Linked DNA regions of Arabidopsis thaliana. The protein of the gene in region 1 binds, or shares a complex with, the protein of each later gene. Each region holds a gene or a part of one and is shown on either strand. Other genes may lie near its edges.

Region 1 (3,689 bases):
TCTATTGGTTCTGTTAAGGTAGCTATATGCTGTGTATTATCAATGATTTCCACAGCGGGCGGTAAAATAATGTCTCGAGCAGTTATATATCCAGGACCTTGGACACAAATAAGCGCGTTGCGCGTTCCATATAGATTACTTCTTAATACAATCTCGTTCAAATTCATTAAAATTTCATGTACTGATTCTTGAATACCTGCTATGTTAGAATAGTCATGTGGTATGTTCTCAGATTTTGCACGTGTAATACATGTTCCTTCTATTTCGCCAAGTAAAGCTCTTCGCATCGCAATGCCTATTGTGTCGGCTTGGCCTTTCATAAGTGGAGACAGAATAAAGCGTCCATAATAAAGACGCTTACTGTCTCTTTTTGATTCAACACACTTCCACTGTAGTGTCCGAGTAGATACTTTGACTTTCTCTCGAACCATAGTAATTTTATTTGATCAGATCGTTGAATCGTTTATTTCTCTTGAAACCCTTTTAGCCTTTTTTTAGTTCTATACACGTCTTTTTTTAGGGGGTCTACAACCATTATGTGGCATAGGGGTTACATCTCGTACGAAACTTAAAAGTATACCGCTTCTACGAATAGCTCGTAATGCCGCATCTCTTCCGAGTCCAGGGCCTTTTATCCTTACTTCAGCTCGTTGCATACCTTGATCCACTACTGCTCGAATAGCATTTCCTGCTGCGGTTTGGGCAGCAAAGGGTGTTCCTCTTCTTGTACCCCGGAATCCACAAGTACCTGCGGAGGACCAAGAAATCACCCGACCCCGTACATCTGTAACGGTTACAATGGTATTGTTGAAACTTGCTTGAACATGAATAACTCCCTTTGGTATTCTACGTACATTTTTACGTGAACCACTACGTGTATTTTTACGCGAACCAATTCTTAATATAGGTTTTGCCATTTTTTTTCATTTCACAAGAAATATATGGATATATCCATTTCAGGTCAAAATAGACCCTTTTTTCCAACTCTTTGGAAGTGCCTTTTCTTTTACTTTAGTTCCTTTAGTAAGATTATCCTTGTCTTTGTTTATGCCTCGGGTTGGAACAAATTACTATAATTCGTCCCCTCCTGCGGATTAGTCGACACTTTTCACAAATTTTACGAACGGAAGCCCTTATTTTCATAGTTGTTATTCCTTAATTCTGTGAATATATTTATTGGTGGACGAAAAAAAGGTTTCTTGATATTTTTGAATCTTGAATTGTATCTTCGTGAAAGGAATGGTTGAAATTGAAAAAACACTTACTCATTTGAATACTTATTATGGAGTCTAGAAAATGGCTGTCCCCTTATTAACTTATACTTAAGAACTTACTCAAAATTTTACCTTTTTATCCTATAGGTATACCTATACAAAAATATGTCGAATCCTTTCAGAAGCATGAACGAAAAAAAATCTTTAGTATCTAAACAAAATCGAACCATGCCGTTCGGAAGTGATTAAGAAAGAAAACTTTTATTAATTCATTTTTTCTTTAATTTCATTCGAAGTAAAACATCCGAAACTTTTTTGAACAGGGGTGGTATTACACAACCCCCTTTTTTCACAAATTGTAAGTTACAGATATCTAATTTTTATATTAGAAGGATTACCATATATAACACAAAATTTCTCCGCCGATTCTTTTTAGTCGAGCTTCTCGGTCTGTCATTATACCTTGAGAAGTCGAAAGGATTACAATTCCTATTCCGCCTAAAATTCGTGGAATTCGTTGAGAGTTAGAATAGATTCGTAGACCCGGTCGACTTATTCTCTTTAAATTTAAAATCGTTTTGTAGGATTCTTTCTTATTTCGTCTATGTCTTAGGGTTAAAATCAAAAAATATTGGTTGTTTTCGCGATGTTTCCTTACGTTTTCGATAAAACCCTCTCGTAAAAGGATTTTAACAATACTTTCCGTGATGTTAGTCGATCCTATCCGAACCGTTCCTTTTCTATTCATGTCAGCATTTCGTATAGAGGTTATTATATCAGCAATGGTGTCTTTCCCCATGATAAGTTAAAATTCCTTATTGTTCTATAATTTTGATATAATCAACATGTTCTTTTTCTTTTATTTATATATAGATATAGACGAATTATATATTAATATATGAATTAAATTCTTAATATTTTATTATTAAGGGTATATGCGTGATACAGAATCTATTAATTAATTTTATTTCAATACCTGTTTTTTTAATCCGATACTAACTATCGCTATCGATATTTAGATCTTATAATACCTCAGGAGCTAATGAAACTATTTTAGTAAAGTTTAATTGTCTCAATTCCCGTGGGATCGCCCCAAAAACTCGAGTTCCTTTTGGATTTCCTTCTTGATCAATGACAACTGCGGCATTGTCATCATATCGTATTATCGTCCCATTGTTACGTTTGAGTTCTTTACAAGTACGTACAATTACAGCTCTAATCACTTCTGATCTTTCTAGAGGAGTATTTGGTATTGCTTCTTTGATTACAGCAACAATAACGTCACCAATATGAGCATATCGGCGATTACTAGCTCCTATTATTCGAATACACATCAATTCTCTAGCCCCGCTGTTGTCTGCTACATTCAAATAGGTTTGTGGTTGAATCATATCATTTTTTTTGTATCTCTTCTTTTAATGCAAAGGACGAAGTAAAAAAATATTGTTTGTCAAAAAAAGAAAACTTATAATCTTTTTACCCTTAAATGTTATTTAGTTTTTTCATTATATATTCCTATTCAGAAATAATGAATTGGGTTTTTATAGGCATTTTTGATGCCGCTATTGAAATAGCTTTTCTTGCTATATTTTCGGGTACACCACCCATTTCATAAAGGATTTTACCTGGTTTAACCACAGCTACCCAATACTCAGGGGATCCTTTCCCAGAACCCATACGCGTTTCCGCAGGTCTTACTGTAACTGGTTTGTCTGGAAATATACGTACCCAAATTTTTCCACCACGTCGTACATTTCGTGTCATTGCGCGTCGCCCTGCTTCTATTTGTCTAGATGTGATCCAAGCGGGTTCAAGTGTTTGAAGAGCATATCTGCCAAAACAAATACGATTCCCACGAGAAGATATTCCTTTTAGTCTTCCTCGATGTTGTTTACGAAATCTGGTTCTTTTTGGGTTATAGTTGATGGTTCTAAATTAGAAATTCCATCTCTACTACAGAACTGAACGTGAGAGTTTCTTCTCATCCAGCTCCTCGCGAATAAAAGGACTAAAAAAGCTTGTATTAAGATATAGTTAATGATTAATTCTATTAATCATGATATTCAATTTCATCTGATCTCTTCTAAATTTGTGTATGTCTTTTTCGAAATGGAATCCAAGATTAATTCTATTTATTTAAAAATAACGTAACGTAATATCATCATCTCGAATGTCGTTTTTGTTAGAATATTCTAACAAATCCTTATTTTCTTTTATCTTTTTAATTTTTGTTTTTTATTACTTTTATTAAAAAAAAAGTATTCGCCGGCGAATATTTACTCTTTCAATATCTATATTAAGTTTGTTGTTTATCCCAGGAGATCTCTGAATAAAAATAAGAATAGATAATAATCTGGTTTATTCCGCCATCCTGTCCAATGAATTACTAAGATTTATTTTTCAATAGAATCCTCTATATTCATGGGTTCCGTCGTTCCCATCGCTTCTTGATTAATCATTAGGCCCGAATTCTAC
Region 2 (4,189 bases), on another chromosome or scaffold:
TATCTACCGTTTTATCAAATAATTTTCTTTTTATTATTTGTTTGTTTACTAGAATTACAGTTTTTTCAAACAGATAAATAATCATATTAATAATAACATTTGCTAAATTTAGTTAAAAGAATCATGGTGTTACTTTTTAAGTTTTACTGGTTTGCTTTCAAGTTTCAAGAATGATTGTATAGTACTTTCGGATGTTTGATCTTTAAAACTTGTTGGTACAGTTGGAATGCTTTATTGGAAATATCAAACTATCACCAACGCTAACATTTCTATTCTTTTTGAACTTCATCAAGAGCCAAAGCCCCTGATCGGCCTCACAAAAGACACCATTTTCTTTGGTCTCCGGCAACAGAACATGGATTGGAATCAATCCCTAATCAAACCGGGTCAATTTGGCTTAGTCAAGAAACGTCCCTCTTATGTAACAGCTGTTCCAGAACGGCAGAACATTCACGAACATATAAATGGGTGTCCACTAACAAATTCAAACACATAACCATGATCACTCTGTCCTTTTTTCCATTTTTTTAAATATTCAAGTAAACAACATGTAAATTATAACGAATTTAGGTCGTCTCAACATCATGACTCATTCACATGCGTTGACTTTTAACCCACTAAACATTTTTTATAGGACCCCTCTCTCTCTCTATAAATTCGACCCCCTTTGTTGATAGATCATACAGAGAACAACAAAGAAAGAAACCAAATAAGAAGAAAAAGGAGAAGAACATTCAAATGGCACCAAGAAGTTCTTTGATCCGCTTCGCCTTCATCTGCATTGTCTTGGCCGTGATGGTCATGACTGCTGAGTCGCACAACGGAACCCACCACCATGGTCCGGCTATGGCTCCAATGCCACCCATGGCTAAGGCTCCGTCTCCAAGTGCCGCCACTTTCTCCGCCTACCCTCAGCTCATCGCCACCGCATTGGTCGCTGCTATGTCTTTCGTCTTCTGATGAGATGTGTTGCCATTCATCTTCAGAATATGTTTTACTCTCTATGAGATTTTATTTTAATTTTCACATGTATTCCTTCTTTTTTTGTTAATTCTTCAAAGATTGTGATGTTGTGTTCCTATCATAATAAAACATTTATCTCTTGATGTTTTTTTTATTATCTTAATCATATTTTCCTCTTTTTCGAACCAAATCTTCTAATCAAGGCATTATAATGGCCCGTTTGAGAAAAGGTGGACTTTCTTTTTAAAATCAACTAATTCATCTTAAGGTTATAGAATAGATAAATATCCGAAGTAAATATATAAAATAAATTGGGTCAGCCTAAACAAAATAATGAAATGCAGGCCTTACGTGACAGTAATGGGTACGCCTCAACAAATAATGGTGTATTCACTATTCAGACGTTGGTGTCAAAATCAATGAGTGATATCCTTATTAGAAGAACGACAAGCTTTAAACTAGTTTCATGTGTAAAGTACGAAACAATAAACATCATGAAAACACTCGAAATATTGTAGTAAACTTGCCAACAAAACCATGAGTACAAGTGTACAACTCCAATGAATCAGATATATATGCAAGATGGAAAAAATCCCCAAACACCTTAAAATACAACAACATGTGACAATAACGAAGTGAACGACCATCTCGATAAATAGTTAACAAGACTCATTCTCATCCGTTGACTTTTCATCTATACACTTACCATTTTTTTTATACAATCTTTTTCTATCATGACTCTATCCTCAATAGCTACGTGCCCACATGGAGCCAAGGCTCATGCCTTTCGTCTTCTGATCAAATGTGTGTCATTGATCACACCATTCATCTTAGTTGTTAAGAAAATATCTGTAAATCATTTTTTTTTTCATTTTATAGTTGTATCACTTTATTATAGTCCACTCGGTTTTTGCATTTTTGTTATAGTCCACTAGTTGGGCCGTGTTATACAATAGCGAGCCTATCTCAACAAAAAACAAAGCCCAACAAGTATTTATTTTGCCAGTTTTGTAAGCAATTAATTGAATAGAGTAAGTAGAGACGGAGCAAAAACAAGAGAAGCGTTTGGATTCGACGTTTGCCTTATCCGTTCAGCTCATCTTCTTCTTCTTCTTCGTCACCTCTGAATTAGTTTCCCAGAATCCGAAATTCCTAGGAAGAGAACATAACAATGGCGCAGATGGTTGCGATGCCCGTAGCGCACTCGCTCTCACTCATTTGCAATTGGGCAAAATCCAATCCTCTCTCTCGCAACACTCTTGCCCTCCCAGCTTCAAACACTCCCAATGTAATCATTTCTCTTGGACTCTCTCTTGCGTATGATGTTGTAATTTATCGAGCTTGACTTCATGTTTTTTTATGTGTTACTTCATTCTTGTTCGTCAATTTTTGGGTTAGGGGTGGTTATAGAACACTCCATCAATTTTTGGGGGAATTTGTCTCTGTGTTTTTAAAGTTTTTTTTTTTTTTTGTAATGAAATGCAGAAGCAGAGTCTAAGCATCAGATGTGCTCGTGTTGGTGGAGTGGAGATTCCGGCTAATAAGAGAATTGAGTACTCTCTTCAGTACATTCATGGGATTGGTCGAACTAGGGCTCGTCAGATTCTTGTTGATCTTCAGATGGAGAACAAGATTACTAAAGACATGGCTGAGGAAGAACTCATCATTCTTCGTGATGAAGTCTCCAAGTACATGATTGAGGGTGATCTGGTAATACACTTTCCCTTACATTTACACACTTTAGGACATGAGTAATGTGCATCATAGTTTCAGTTTCTGTCAGTCCATTCTCGAGCAGTTTCTTGAAGATTGGAGAAGAACTTAGGCTGCTATCTATTTGGTGTTTTCATTGCTTTAGTTTGGGTTTCCTCTTGTTTTGATTTGGTTCTTAGGCCTTTGTGAATGAATTATTGATTTGTGTTGTGGATGTTGTGCAGAGGAGGTTCAATGCTCTTGCAATCAAGAGGTTGAAGGAGATCCAGTGTTACCGTGGGGTAAGGCACATCCAAGGGCTGCCATGTCGGGGACAGAGAACCAAGAACAACTGCAGGACTCTTAAAGGCAAGAAAATTGCTATTGCAGGGAAGAAGAAAGTTTCCAAGTAATCATCTTCATGATCTCCTTCTTCTTCTGTAATACTCTTTTTAGTTTGTCTAGTCATCTCTGTTTAAATGTGATTTGTAATTCCCAAACCTTTGTTCGAACTGAGCCCTTTCCAGTTTATCTTCGGCTTTTTAGCTATTATTATTCCGTATCTTCATCATTCATTATAAAGTTACAAAAGAAGTTGAAGATTTCAGCATTCAAGAATGATGACAAACCAAGAACAAACTTGAAAATTTGGTCGAACCAAAAATGGTTTATTCAGAATACGTACATATGAATACATAAGTAACCAAAAAATAAAATTTTATAGCTTTTGCCAAAAGACTCGATCTTGGATTGTCTCTAATCCTACCCAGAAAATCTTGCTATCACACAAAAAAAAGGAAGAAAATGAATAATAACAGGGTAAAAATTTTCAGTAAGAGAACTCATGGCCGCGGAGTGAAATGTATTTCTTGACCCAAATGGCAATATCTTCGGCGCAGGCCTGTGCCTGAGGAGTCTTGAGAAGCATATCAAGTGTAGCAAACTCATGAACTGCGTCTTTGTATTCTAAAACTGGAGAATCTACGTTTACCTTTCTAAGCTCTTCTGAATAAGCAATGGCTCGGTCTCTCATCCAGTCATGCTCAGCTACTACTGTAAGTGTTGGAGGCATTAGCTTCAGAGGTGGTCCACTGCGGTTATGGGCAAGTGGGTTTGCTGCCGGGTGGTCAAAGTCGAACTCTTTCTCTGGTAAGAAGAGTTTCCAGGCTAGAACAGAGACAGGCTTATCGTAGAAGTAAGAGTTTGCCAGCTTTATTTCGGACTGTGTTGGGTTGTTTCCAATGAAAAAGGGGTACATTAGAACCTGTGCAACAACTTTCACCGGTTCTAGAAGTTTCCCAGCTTCCACTGCTTTCCGAGCTACATAGTCTGCTATGTTCCCACCACAGCTCACCCCGAGAAGAACACATCTGTTTTAACATCATATGAAGCAACAGGTTGAGACACAGAAGTTGATGTGAGATTGCAATCAATGGAAGATAAGCTATCTTAGTTCATCTAACTAGTTGTCCAAAGAATCCTGACTTTGTACCAAGTTACTCCTAGATCAACATGAAACTATTCTTAAGATCTT
Region 3 (4,787 bases), on another chromosome or scaffold:
AAATAGTGACTCATAAGACATAGTATACTAGTTCATATCAGTGTTATTATCACCTTACATATTTGATCCAATATGAGTGTTTTGGTATATCAATATGAACCAGAGTTTAACCATTTGGTTGAACGCAAAATAGTTTTGAATATGTTTATGCAAATTGCAATAAACCCAAAATGGTAGTAAAAGAAAATACAACCCATAATGGTACTACTTGAAAGTTTATCATAAAACCGATCTCGTAAAATATAAGATTATGGAAGCAGAAATTATGTATGATTTCAGTAATGCTGTGAAAAAAAAAAGCAATTTATTCGAGTGTTTTTGAGAACAAACTATAATCAAAATAAATAATAATGGACGGTCCATGTTGGTATATCGTGGGAATATGCCTTAACTTTAACGACTATTATAAACCGCCACATCATTGTCTCATCTACTTAAACCAAATTCAATTTTGGCGACTATTCGTTTTCTTTCTTCTTTGGTCAAGACATTATCTTACAATGAACCACTTCTTACTATACCAAAAACCATTTCATATGATTAAAATAATGATATAGTTGTGTGTATGATTGAACATGGAAAAGAATATTCTTCAACTTTATAATATTGGGGGGTTGACAATTTCTGCATCATCCAAAATTCCAAATTAGATAAGAAAAAGCGCCATCGACTTATCAGACATAAATTCGAAACCATTACTGTTTTTTCCCTTGGATCGTTTCGTAAGCTTGGAAAGGAAAGACTGGTAAAACAACACTTGCAGGTTTTAATTGGCTGCTAAGAAAAGAGACGAACTGAGTCTAGAGGATAATTGATAAATGAAATGTGTTGTGACAAAAAATTATAATTTCCCTATTGAGTTTGTGGATAAACGAACTTATACGTTTATTATAATAATGAAGTCGCTTTCAAGATTCCAACCTCCTGGTTTTAAAATAACTCAAGTTGTGCATCTTCTTATTCCTACTATAATACTACTATAATACTTATATTCAAAAAAAAGATTCCACTTTGAATACAACAAAAATAAAAAAACTTATCATAATGGACACAGGCAAACTGCATAACAATTAGTAAAACAAAAACAAATTCCTTTGAACTTGCTTAATTAAGGATATGTTCATCAACTAAGAACCAAGCATCGCTAAAGATAGATTCCAAGGACCAGATAATACAACTTACATTTTCGTTACAAAGGTTCTCAAAAAAGATGATACAAGGCTTACCAGTTCTAAGCAATGTAGTTGATCTGAAACAGTCTGTTCATTCAATGCAAAAGTGCCCATCACATCTGAGGAAGAAAAAACACTTTGGTTAAGAACAAGCATCAAGATCTTGATGGTCAACAGAGAAAGATTGTAATTTGATGAAGTTTTGTTTTTGAGGATAAATATTGGAGCCTATGTGCAGTTTCAGTAGCTAAGACACATCAATATTCAAAAACCATTAAGAAGAGAGATCACTTTTTTTGTTTGTTACCATTGTAGTTACGCTTCTTCTTCAGAGCTTCACTTCCACATCGACACCAGCAGGAAGATCAAGTTGCATCAAAGAATCGATAGTTTGAGCAGTCGGGTAGAGAATATCAATCATGCGCTGGTGTGTCCGGATTTCAAAATGGAACCTAGCATCCTTGTGAACGTGAGGAGACTTGAGAACACAGTAGATACGCTTCTTGGTTGGCAATGGAACAGGACCCATCGTCTTTGCATTGGTGTTTCTCGCAGCATCAAGTATCTGCTTGCATGAGTCCTCAATAAGAGGCACCCAGTATGATCTAAGCTTGATCCTAATCTTTTGCTTTGGCGCCATCTGATAACACAAAAATAAATCAAATTAAACCAAACACAATGAAACTCCACAAGACCCCTTAAAACAAAACTCTATTGTGGCAAATCTTATGAAGATACCATCTAAAGACGATCAAGATTTCTATACAATTACTTCTCCTTTCCTGTATATACAAGATGATATCTACTTGAAGGCATTTCACACAAATGAGACTCTTTATCGCTCTGAAAAAACGTAGTAAACCAAAGAAGTCTATTGATCTGACAAAGATAGACATTGAAGACATCAAATTTGAAAATTTGCGTATCAATTTCTAGCAGTGACCTCTAACACAGCAATGGGCATTGGTGTTAGAACAGATATGATACTTTTTAGCGCTGTGAAAACGTAGTAAAGCAAAAAAGTCTACTGTTTTGACGAAGATGGACACAGAATTTAGAACACACCAATGCACAAGTACTCGTAAAATCTGTATTCTAGTAAGTGAGCTGTAACAGTAACGGAATATACCTTATCCGCGTCTACACTGATGGATGAAGAGCTCGGAACCTGAATCACACAGACACAAAGACTATTATTAACAGAATTAACATCAAAGTGCTAAATGATTCTGCAAAACAATGTCTTTCCCCCCCCCCCCCCAAATTTCGCATTAGCTCTGCAAACAATCGAATCCGAGACTGACAGAGGAAAGAGTGTACCTCAGAGGCGGGTTCATCGAGAATTTCTGGAGTTGGATCTAGGGTATCGGGAACAGCGAAGACCTTCGTAAGCGAGACGGATGGTTTCGTAAGGACGCAGGAACTAAGGCCGCCATGGGTAGAAGATGAAGGCAGCAGAGAGACTTTGAGTCTGGTAGAAGAAGGCGAAGAGCTTGGAATGCCGAAAGATGGCAATAGAAACGACGATACAGTAGAAACCGCCATTGAATTTTCCCAAAACCACGAATCGATTTCTCTTATTCTTCTTCCTCTTAACGTTCGAAGGATGAGGTTTCTTCTTCAGCAGCTTCTTCTTGAGGGTTATCCATTTTATCCAAAACCTTTTTCTCTCTTTTTTAAATGATGAGATATTATTTATTCTAAGCCCATTAATTCATTAAAAGGCCTACGCTTATTATAAATGAATACCCATTAGGCCCAAATTGTATAGTTTCTGTTAGGGACCAAAAGTACCCATTAGGCCCATATTTTATAGTTCTTTTGGGGACCAAAAATATTCTAACCTAGTAAAATATGATTCATTTGTCTTTCGGTATTTTCTTTCTTGTGGATTGTGATCTGTCTTTAGAAGATTCTTTTGTATCTCATAAATATCTTTTGGAAAATTCAACACACAAACATTCGTGAAGTAGATGGAAAATTTAAGAAAAGTGGAAGACAAAATGAACTACTTGACAAACAAAACCCCATGAAAATATGCAATGAATGTGGAAAAAAATGGACAATATAAATATTCGATGAAATAATACAAACTCATAAAATAATATTAATTTGAATACAAAAGACAATAATATCAAGGAAGGATTCCGTAGTTTTGATTTTTGACTTTTAAATGCATTGTTCTTAATTTTATCTGTAATTGTGTGATCCATAATCTGTAAATATATACCTTCAAATGTGTGATCCATAATCTCACACGGAAATATAAGGTGTTAGCGTAGTTCAAGTATAATTTTTTTTTAATAAAAGCAAAATACATGTAGAAGAAGCCTAACAATTAACATAATGATGTCGCCAAATCCATGCAATTTAAAGAAGGAAAATGACTTAAACCAATCAAAGACATAAAAGACAATGACATCTTCTAAATATTATTGTCCACAAGCCCTCACACTATTCAAAGACCAATCATCCCTTACTATTCCGTTTGTATTTGTCTCAATCATGAGTATTTTTTTTTATATATATCATCAAGCTATACATGACTTAAAAGTCATATTCCTTTACCATTAACATACCATAAAAGCTAAGTCATCATGTATAGCTTGATGATATAAAAAGAAAAAAAATCCGAATTCCATCAGAGGTCATAAAAGATTCGGAACTTTTGGAACACTAACCAGAGGTCGTTTCGCAATGTAACCAATAATAGGACATAAGAAAACATGGATTAGTTGACAAACAAACAATAGAAGAAACACAGAGACTTTTTTTTATCCACATAACTGGGAAATCACACTTCACACGTGGCATGCAGCCATGCAGCTTCAGAACAAGGGGTGGTTTGGTAAAATCATCCACAGATGCCCATTGCCTTTGGCTTAAATTCTATAAATACCAAAGCCGTTGAGTGTAGTGTAACGCTTTGCACAATTACACTTTAACCTGTTTAATTCCTTCTTCTTCTTCTTCTTATTCTAGTCCTCACCATTCACTCACAAAACCAAAGAAAAGAAACCAGAGAGATGGATCAAATAAAACCGGAGTTTCTGAAGAAATTGACCAAGTTTATAGCAGTTTCGATGTGGATTTTATCTCTTTTAACCAGCCACGACTTCTATTTATATAGGTTCATGATCCAACTCGTAACACACGCAGTAGATAAAAACTACATGTTCCTCCTCTGCAATGGTCTCGTAGTGGTTGTTGCTAAGTGTTCTGGTTTGGTCGCTTCGTCCAAACCAATAGAGAAAATTTGGAGTAATACCGATAAAACCTTTGATTATGGAGATTTCGAGAGTTACACTACGATACTGGAGCTAGAGTATAAATCTGATCATGGAATAGGAACAGAGTCCTTTCTTGCAGAGGAAGTTACAGTGGAGGAAGATACAAAACATCAAGAAACCGAGGACAACGAAGAAGAAGATGACGACGACAACACATTAGCAGATAATGATGGAGAGGAAGAGTGTGGTCTTCGTGGCGGATCTATAAACGAGGAAGAAGAAGGGAACGTAGGAGTGATGACATCGACGGAGGAGGAGATGAATAAGAAATTCGACGAGTTCATCAGAAAGATGAAGGAAGAGCTTAGAATCGAAGCTAAACGGC

The links. The genes of interacting proteins can lie anywhere in the genome.
Region 2: rps11 (region 1) and EMB3137 share a complex: the UniProt entries of both Arabidopsis thaliana proteins name them as parts of the 30S ribosomal subunit.
Region 3: rps11 (region 1) and AT3G13120 share a complex: the UniProt entries of both Arabidopsis thaliana proteins name them as parts of the 30S ribosomal subunit.

What each region holds. Positions count from the first base shown.
Region 1 is NC_000932.1:78,460-82,148, forward strand, and holds rps11 (ribosomal protein S11), read right to left. Parts: upstream 918-3,689; coding exon 501-917; downstream 1-500. Other genes in the region: rpoA (RNA polymerase alpha subunit), read right to left, coding at 1-431; rpl36 (ribosomal protein L36), read right to left, coding at 1,030-1,143; rps8 (ribosomal protein S8), read right to left, coding at 1,609-2,013; rpl14 (ribosomal protein L14), read right to left, coding at 2,237-2,605.
Region 2 is NC_003076.8:4,616,718-4,620,906, reverse strand, and holds EMB3137 (Ribosomal protein S13/S18 family), read left to right. Parts: upstream 1-1,925; 5' UTR 1,926-2,134; coding exon 2,135-2,251; intron 2,252-2,448; coding exon 2,449-2,673; coding exon of another isoform or gene 2,674-2,718; exon of another isoform or gene 2,719-2,900; coding exon 2,901-3,068; 3' UTR 3,069-3,484; downstream 3,485-4,189. Other genes in the region: AT5G14330 (uncharacterized protein), read left to right, coding at 356-468, 687-960; CXE16 (carboxyesterase 16), read right to left, coding at 3,485-4,025. UniProt on the Arabidopsis thaliana protein: Located at the top of the head of the 30S subunit, it contacts several helices of the 16S rRNA.
Region 3 is NC_003074.8:4,218,810-4,223,596, forward strand, and holds AT3G13120 (Ribosomal protein S10p/S20e family protein), read right to left. Parts: upstream 2,839-4,787; 5' UTR 2,718-2,838; coding exon 2,493-2,717; intron 2,341-2,492; coding exon 2,302-2,340; intron 1,813-2,301; coding exon 1,501-1,812; 3' UTR 1,480-1,500; exon of another isoform or gene 1,464-1,479; intron 1,292-1,463; 3' UTR 501-1,291; downstream 1-500. Other genes in the region: AT3G13130 (uncharacterized protein), read left to right, coding at 4,199-4,787.